2 linked regions of the Oryzias latipes genome follow. The protein of the gene in region 1 purifies or fractionates together with the protein of each later gene. This does not show direct contact. Links are inferred from orthologs where the notes say so. Each region holds a gene or a part of one and is shown on either strand. Other genes may lie near its edges.

Region 1 (4,562 bases):
AAATCATTGAAGAAAAAAGGTTCAGCGCACTGTCTAGTGGGTCTAGATGACCCAACTCCCAATGCTAAAGTGCCTAGGATACCACAAGGGTTACATAAAGTTTCTGTTTGGCAAACTGTTTGTTTTCATATGTAATAATGAATAACTTGAATAGTACTCAGCTTAAAGAGAAAATAAAGATTTGTAAAAAAAAAGAATAACATGTTTCATGCCACAACTCCTTTCAATGATATGCATTCAAATGTGCAAAACATATGTTATATTTTTATTTTACTAGAATTATAGAATAACACTTATTGTAAGCGTTTCTGGAAAAGTATGCATATTTCTTTGTCTGCCTTATACACTCATTTGCCACAACTTAATGGGCCATTCTACCCTGAAGCAAAGTATGTTCTTTGTTAGATGAATGGGGGATTCAACTTTTACAGAATAGGTTCTCAGTTCATAAAATGATAAAGTCATGTGTTTCGCATGGGAGATCATTTTAATATGATCCAACGTTTTCCCCCTAAAAAGTAAAGGGTAGATTTTCAACTGAAATTCAAATTTACTGTGTTTTTCTTTCAAAAGGGAACAGTTTTTTGTAGTGAATCAGTTTGCTTTCATACTAACAGTATACAAATTAACATATCTAATATATTTTTGTCTTGGATTTAATTTGTACAAAAAATGAAATCAAACCCATTCAAAAACAGTTGAATAGATTGACTTTTGACAGTTTACACACATGATAAGAATAGAGCAAAATAAAAAGAAGCATGGAAAAAGACTAGAGATGGAAAAAAATAATATGGTTTAAAGGCAAGAGCAAAAACAAGCAGCTTTTGTAATTTAAAATGCTCGTGGCTCTGGGACAATGTCCTTCTCTTTTACTCAACCCTCGTCTTTTTGGTAGAACTAGAGGAAACAAAGCAAGTCAATTCTCCTTCTTCATTTGTGTGACTGGCAAAGGAGAATTCATCAGGAGTGAGTATCTTTTCATATCCTGTCCTCTGACTCTTTCCATAAAGTGATCAGTTCTTTTTTTTAGGCATAGGCTATCACAGACTAAATCAAAATTTGAGTGTCCCAATGGTAAAAAGAAAATATGTGCTTAAATACAGAATGCTTTGATAGTATATTATATTATTATTATTATCCTGCTGTTTTTTTCAAGTAAAGTTAGAACAATGTTTTTTTTTTAACGTTTTTTTGTTGTATTTTCTTTTAAATCAGAGAGGGATCTTGTTGATGTGAAACATCGTCTGTTTCCATTTTCGGCAGCCTCTAATCCAGATTATTGTTTGGATCCGTCATTCTGACTGTTTTTCTTCTTTACTCTGGTCCTCAATATTATCCTCATCACTTATTACTTCTTGAAAAACTGATCATCGCTATAAATTGTGTGTTTTTTTATTTTTCTATCCATTTCGTTTGAACATCTGATCCATGATATTCTCACGATGACTCTGCTATGGGAATTAAAATGACCGACACATGGGATGTCCAATCACAGCTGGGTATTTGGTGTGACTACACCCAGTTTAACCAATGACATTCCAGTTCTAAATTACCTTGTGACCAATCGGATCCCTCCTTTTTCGTGAAAGGGGAGGGTCTACATCTTGTTGGCTTTGCCCAGTCCGGATGTTCCCCAGTAGCGGACTAACGAGCAGCACTGTGTGAATGTGGCAATCGAGGTAGGCAGGGAGGGGTAGATTTTATGACCACACCGGTCAATTGCCCCCCCTTGCCCTCTCTCCAATATATATATACATATTTTTTTCATGTCTTAACATAGTGTTTTCTTTTTTAAATCACGCCACGGCGGTGTTTGGACAGCAGGAAAGCCGGCGACGGCTTTATTTTTGGGACTAACGGCTGTCGTAAAAACAGTCAAGAAGAAAGAAGGAAAGGAGGAAACAACATGGGGCGATAATACGAAAATGTGTTGACCGACGATGACTCCGTGGGAAGACCCGTGAAGCTTATTTATTTTTATTTATTCCCCCTTTCCCCCCTCATTTGTTCTCTTTACATACAAAAAAAACATATCTACCCCCCTTGCTAGTTTGGGGATTTTTGAAAACGCTACAAGAGGATTGAAGGATGGAGCAAGCCGGCATCCTGAGAAAGTTTATCCAAGGGGTGAAGGCCATGAGTGAAGGGGACAAGGAGAGGGGAGAGGACAACTTTGGTAGTGACTTTATGGTGAGTAAATCTGCTGGACTCTAACCTATCCTTCTCTCTCCCTCTCTTTGTTTTTTTTTAATCTAATTGGAAGTCGTCCCCATGTTTATACTTAGTCTCCACCTTTTCCCCCTTTTCGCCGACTCTCCCTCCATACCATCACCCTTCCCGTTTCTTGGTTCCTGCATCCCCCCAGGAGGAGGTGAGGTAGGGGCGGCCACACTGCCTGCCCTCTTCCTTTTCCTCTCATTTCCAGGCTTTATATGGCGGCCTAGCATTGTGTCCCGACGCACAGACACACCGCCGACTTCTGTTCTTTAAGAATTGGAATAGGGGGAATTAGCTCAACGCGTCGGTTCAAAGCCCCCTTGCTTGTGTTTTGGTGGCGCTAAGGCGGCTTATTGTGGGCTGGAGCAGATAGTCGCTTCCTCCGCTGTTAATCATGCCTGATTGTTGGCAGACAGTGCACTAGTGCTTCATTGTCCTCTCTTGTACGTTATAGATGTGGTCCACAACTATAACCATTGAATGCAGTGACAAGAAATTGCTACTAGCATATCAGCTATGCATTTTTTAGGGTCACAGTTTGCTATAAAAAATAGAAAAGTCTAAATATTACAACTTAAAAATGTCATCAGAAATACTTAAAGCAGCATTAAAGATCATTATAAAACAAAATGACTCTGTAAACTTACAAAATGTATTGACCTGCTTGGTTTTTTGCTTATATCTATTTAACATACTTGAAAATATTATAAATGAAGGTTTGTTTACCAAATTAGAAAGCTGGTTGGAGTTTAGCTTTTTGATGGCTGCAAATCGGTAGTTCAAAGAATGTTCTTGGTATATAAAAGAAAAAAAAGAAAAAAAAGAGGGATGTCGAAATTTTGGAATCTAAATGAAGCTTCTTCCACTCCCTGACTTGTGAAATGACTTTCTGTAATAACATTTAGCATGAGGTGGACCTTTTAGGGCAAAGTTTAGGCTAAAATAAGTCGAGAAACTCTTCTATGACCAATTATTTCAATATATCCGTCATTGCATTGTTCCAACTATAGATAGAAGATGCTGTTACTCTTTTACGTTTTGTTTAAATATTGAGTTTGTTGTCTCCAAGAAAGAGGTTAATCAGCATCAGCTAACTTTTGCCCCCTCTGTCTACACTTGCAGAAACGCACACACACACGCACACACCTTACTTCCATGCTTCATGCAAGCAGCTTGCTGTAGCTTGCAACATTCTTTCTTGGCCTATTACAAAACATTTTGTCCTGGCTTTAAAAGTGGAGCTTTGTCAACAAATCTCACACTTTGAATCACTGCTTTAAGGAAGACAGAACCATAATTAAATAAATAAAAAATTAAAAAATATAAAAATGCTATCTTAGTCTTGTTTTGTTGCTGTTGCGTTCATTAGTTGGTCTGTGCTTTGAGGATTCTGTAAACAAGGGGCTGATAGGTGTTGCGCAAAGCAGACTGAACTGTCTGTGCAAGACATTCAGGAAGTTATGGAAGAAAGTGTTTTAAAAAAAAAGAGCTATAATTTGATTATGTTTTTAATTTTGTTCTTCCACCTTGCAGAGACTTTTAGTGTATTTTGGTTGTAAAATATGTACAGTAATAAACTTCTACTGTGACACACATTTCATGCTTATCCTCATGCTGCCTCACAACTTCCATATTGTTACTGCCTGTTTCACTGCTTTGGAAGCTAACACATGAAGCATGTGAGGATCCATTCTTTACCAATTGGTGAAGCCTAAACGTTTTCATGTATATAGGGTGGGCTTTTCTGAACAGTGCCTCACCAGAGCGCCCTGACATAACTGTACTCTAACCGCCTATTGTTGTTTATATATAGAACGTGTTATATAGACATAATTGCAGGTTGCGTTAGGGCAAAGAGTCAAGATTATACACTTTGTTCAGCAGCCGTTTTAAGCAATTTGATGGAGCAGAATTGCTTTAGATGTTTTTTTATAATCCAGTGTTGAAATCTAAGAAGTGTCCTGTGGAGTTAAGTTATTGTCTTGTCAAGTCTGTTCCTATATGCGACCGTATAACCCATTTAATTGCTGGAGTTGTCTTTTTGCAGGGAGGTTTCTATTTCTGTGGTGTTCGGAAAGAAATAAATTACATAGAAAATACCTAAGGGTGAGGACAGAGGAAACAGGATTTTTTTTTTTTTTAATTGTTAAATTTTAGATCATTGTTATACTTTTAGTGAATTTCTTCTATTTTGTATTAGAGATAAGAAGAAAACTCCAAAAAACAAATTTAGTCTGTGAATTCACCCACAAAATTAAGGTTGAAGTTAACATAATTCAAGTTTTAATTCCATGGAAACATTTTTAAACCAACTTTAAAATGTTGTGGTTTATTTCAGAAAC
Region 2 (4,379 bases), on another chromosome or scaffold:
AAGATGCAAAAATCTGCAAATCAGGAAAAAAGCACCTTTTTTGCCCTGTCTTAAATTTGATGCTACACAGTTTTTTGTGTAACTGTATTATAAAGAAATAATTATCAACAAATTTAGCATTCTTGAAGTTATGCAAGTGGTCATTTAAAAGTTACTCTCTTTATAAAGTTTTGAAAAGTAGCTACATTTTTCCCACCAAAAGGGTTTCTGAAATTTCACAGAAATTCTGAAGTGAGCAGGAAGAGCCCTTCTATAAGTTATATACAGTGAGTTCATAAGGACAGCTTGAATCTTGCTAATGAGATAGTCTCAGAAATGTATCAAATATGATACGAATGGTTACAGGGTTAAAAAACAATGAATAAGAATAGCTTACTGTATACTAGAGTTTATACTGTGTCTTTTGCACTTGTTTTCAATTTTCCGACTAGAAATAATGCCTCTTTTAATATTTACTCGTAACTTCTATTTATTGATCAACATCTGCAGTATGCATCAAGTATGAGTGTCGACAAGAAAAGCCACCCAGAAAGTTAATACCAATGAGTGTCTCTTCTTCCTCAATTACTCTTCCTTCCTCTAAGAAGTTAAAAACCATCAAGAGAAATAAAACTACACCGGTCACGTGACCACAGAGTGAACAAGACACTCTACTTACGGATGAAGCAATCCAACATTTGGTGTTCTACATTACACGAGAGAACAGAGCAGATCAAAAATGACACAGTTGCACATGGGTCGCTTACTTCATCTCGTTGTGTCCACACACCTTCTTGGACAAACCCAGCAGGTCTTTGGCATACTTCTCTTCAATAGAAGCCCTGAAAGAAAAAGCAGCGCTTAAGAAAGGCTATACCCAAAGAAGATACCGGGACGTTGATTTCCATGCACGTCTTGAAGACAAGCAGCACTTTATCAGCATTTGTTTTTCCACATAATGTTTAGTGCAGAGAAGGTACATTTTAGAGGGAAACGGTTAACAAAAAAGTGCTTTTATTTTTAGAAAAGTACTTTTAGTGAGAGAAATAAACCTGTGGAAAAAAACTACTAGCAGCAAATAACAATAAAACGTATGTAAATGCAGCTACATATGATAAATTATAAACGCTTTTGCCTAATTTTCTGTAATATCTAGAGTTAAGCTTGGGAGCTACTAAAAATATTGACTTAAGCTGAATTTGTACTTGTTCAGATTTAGTATACACAAAGTTCATACAAAAAAAAAAGCTCATCAGTAACAAACAGATCACTTAACCAGGAAATAGTTACTCAGTGTAAATAGTTGCTTTAATGATATTTATACATATATGATCACCAACAAAACTTTAATCAATTTTCTAATTTTTTAAACTTTCTTTTTATTAATGTCTTTACTTCAAGCGTGCTTTGTAATTCTCACTTCTTTCGGTTTGGCACACCACGATGGTTTGCAAAAATGTCCTCCCATGTCGCAAAACACCAAGTTTCACTTTTGTTGTGATATATAATATCCTCCTTTTTATTTCAGAGTTTATGACACAGTTATATACTGACACAATTGCCAGATTTACATGTTGCTACCAATTCATAAACAATAAGCCGACATGCACTCAGGTCTTTGTGTGAAAAGTTAATTATTACAAGAGGAAGAAGAAATGCAAAACTCAAAACGTGACAAACTAAGGTTTTACAGTCCATACTTTGTAAAAAAACAAAAGAAAAAGGCTCAAAGAATTGAAATATAGCATCATCTTTAATAGTTTGATTAGTTGCAAAGCTGTTGGCTTAAATTTAGGGAAGAAATTTCTTTTTACTGATATACATTTTTATATTACATAACCTTTTTTCAAAAAACATTTTTAATATGTGACTTAAAATTTTAAATATATTTTAGTTATGCATTTTATTCACGTTAAAAAGCAATTCCCTGCTGTGAGATTAAAAACTTGATTATTTACTTCTCAAACAACAACTTCACATCTCTTCTTCCTTTTATCATCACTTAAACCCCACTTTTCCTGTGTTAGTCTCACATTAAGTTTAGTTTCATTTTACACAGAGCCTAGAGAGTCTAGCAGGGGTGGCTGTGGTGCAGAGGTGGGGTGGTCAACCTCTCATTGTAACATTGCAGGTTCGGTTACCACATTACCTGCCCAAGACACTGAACCCCACATTGCTCCTGGTGGTTCTTATGCAGCAGAGCCACCACCAGTGTGTGAATGTGCATGGGTGAATGGGACTATGAATATAAAATGCTAAAGGCCTTCTAAGAAGGTAAAAAAAAAGCACAATATAAGTTTACGCCATTTACCATTTATAACAATTTCATGCAAGTATTTTAATGTATTCATTACCTTGCTTTCATGAAGTCCTCGACCTCCTTGCATGTCCTTTTGCCTTCGTTTAGATACTGAATTATGGCATCATAGCCGTTGGTGCAGGTCAGATCTAAGTTCTGTCAGCATCAAAACAAATATGTCAATATTATTTCCATCAATATTTATCAGTAAGACACTACAGGGATGCCTCTTCTCTTTTAAACTGGTTAAACCCGTTTGGAAAGCACATGAGATTATTTGACCCAGGTGAAAATTGGTGTTTTTGAACCGTTAATCTCTATAATTTGGGTCATCTGAGGCTAACAGCCTGTAATCATCCTCAACCATAAAGACTTCCCTCATGAAGTTTTTATGCTTTGCTGCCTATTCAGTTTTTTACCATAGTGGGTTTGGAGTTTGAGTCTTTCGTATATGTCTCAGCTGTGTATTTAAATAAATTAGATGCTTTGAAACTGATCATCAGAAATTTAAAGCATGTCCGTTTCAAAACAAAATTTTAAAATATAAAGAATTTCTTGATAAGGAAATACATGATCATTACTGCTTAATTGAATTTCAGCCTTCTGAAGTGCATTTAATTACCCTGTAATTGTAAAAAAAAAAAAAAATTAGCCAAATTTATCTAGAAAGCTACACAAACTACTCACCCAGAAGAAATCTTTGAAATGAAGATTCTTCATGACTGAAATGTACAAGAGGAGCAACGCCGCAGGCTCCGTGAAGCTCTTTGAGTGCGATTTCCTTCCTAGTTAGTGCCGTGAACGAACCATGAAGTCTGAACTGTACAGTCTATTAACTGGCGCATGCGCAGTAACTTTGACAGGGCTGACTGGAACTCCTCCTGACAGCTCTTCATTGCTGGCAGAGCTGCCATCTAGTGGCTGACTGAGATATTTACTGGACCGGTAGAAGAGAGTGTAATGTATTAGATAAAAGTCAGTGTAGAATAAAATAAATGGTAAATATAAAGAGTGAGATGTAAAGTAAAGCAAATGTGTTAAACTTAACACAGTCATAAAAACTAACTAATAAAAAAGAAATAAAATAAAAGTTTTATTAACACTGATACTGGCAGAAAATTCAGCAATAACTAAGGATAAGGGGAAAGTACCAAATGCTGAAACAGCATTCATTTGCAGTTTTAAAAATCTTGAATCATCTAAAACAGGACAAAATAAAGCCTCCAAAACTAGCAGTTGTACATAATACCTATAATCACAACTTCGTCATTTGAATGCCTTTTTTTAAGAACATATAAAGCTTTGTATTTTCAATGGTAATAAACCACATAAAGTTTCTAAAATCATAAATGGGACCAAAATTAAAAATAAAAGTTTCAGGAGGAGACCTTTTTTTAATCAATCCAAAATTAAGAACCTTCAAGGCTTGAAGTGAGTTCATTTAAGGCTTAATACAAAAATACATAAAGGTTAAAAAAGTCTAGTCTTTAGAAAACTTGATAATGTCTGCATATTGAACTTTTATTGAAATAATTGTTTATAGCTAACCTCTACCTTGTTAATCAACATAGAAAAAAAGGGATTTTGTGATGAAATGATAAAAAAACACCTGTAATGATCTTCAGTTCAAATCTTCAATGTTTACACTGTTTTGACCCAAGATTATTCAATAGTGCATTAGTTTGAGATCTATCGATCTATCGATCTCAAACTTTTGTAAATAATGAATTTGTTCCAGAATCTTTAACAGGGAACAAATTTAAACTTTGTAGACAAAAAAAATATGATTTCTCTGAAACCTAAAGTTTATTTTGTCTAAAAACAAATTACAGGTAAGTTTCCATCAAGGCATGAATGGATATGATCAGAAATCCTGATTTTAATGATGTCTTCAGAAAGACTTTATATTTACACTATCTTATTGGAATAATTTTTTACACAACATAACTTTACACACAGGAGAACAACAAAAAATATAATTACCGATATACACTTCCATCAAATTATACAGTTCCATCAAATTAAAGTCAACTTTGACCCTTTTCACCTTGATTCCATTTCTCTTTTCAATGAGGATTAAGGAGTTTATCTATGTACGTGT

What was found.
Region 2: the proteins of tyrosine-protein phosphatase non-receptor type 12 (region 1) and pstpip2 purify together in Homo sapiens (affinity purification with mass spectrometry; 4 studies listed by BioGRID and IntAct, counting the BioPlex papers as one, with this or other methods). This does not show direct contact. The link is inferred for Oryzias latipes from reciprocal best matches to the Homo sapiens genes PTPN12 and PSTPIP2.

The regions. Positions count from the first base shown.
Region 1 is NC_019881.2:13,835,256-13,839,817, forward strand, and holds the start of tyrosine-protein phosphatase non-receptor type 12, read left to right. Parts: upstream 1-1,620; 5' UTR 1,621-2,091; coding exon 2,092-2,193; intron 2,194-2,946; exon of another isoform or gene 2,947-3,015; intron 3,016-4,562. UniProt on the Homo sapiens protein: Dephosphorylates a range of proteins, and thereby regulates cellular signaling cascades. Dephosphorylates cellular tyrosine kinases, such as ERBB2 and PTK2B/PYK2, and thereby regulates signaling via ERBB2 and PTK2B/PYK2.
Region 2 is NC_019870.2:8,939,573-8,943,951, reverse strand, and holds the start of pstpip2 (proline-serine-threonine phosphatase-interacting protein 2), read right to left. Parts: upstream 3,104-4,379; 5' UTR 2,999-3,103; coding exon 2,966-2,998; intron 2,435-2,965; coding exon 2,334-2,434; intron 822-2,333; coding exon 747-821; intron 1-746. Other genes in the region: putative UDP-GlcNAc:betaGal beta-1,3-N-acetylglucosaminyltransferase LOC100288842, read right to left, coding at 4,345-4,379. UniProt on the Homo sapiens protein: Binds to F-actin. May be involved in regulation of the actin cytoskeleton.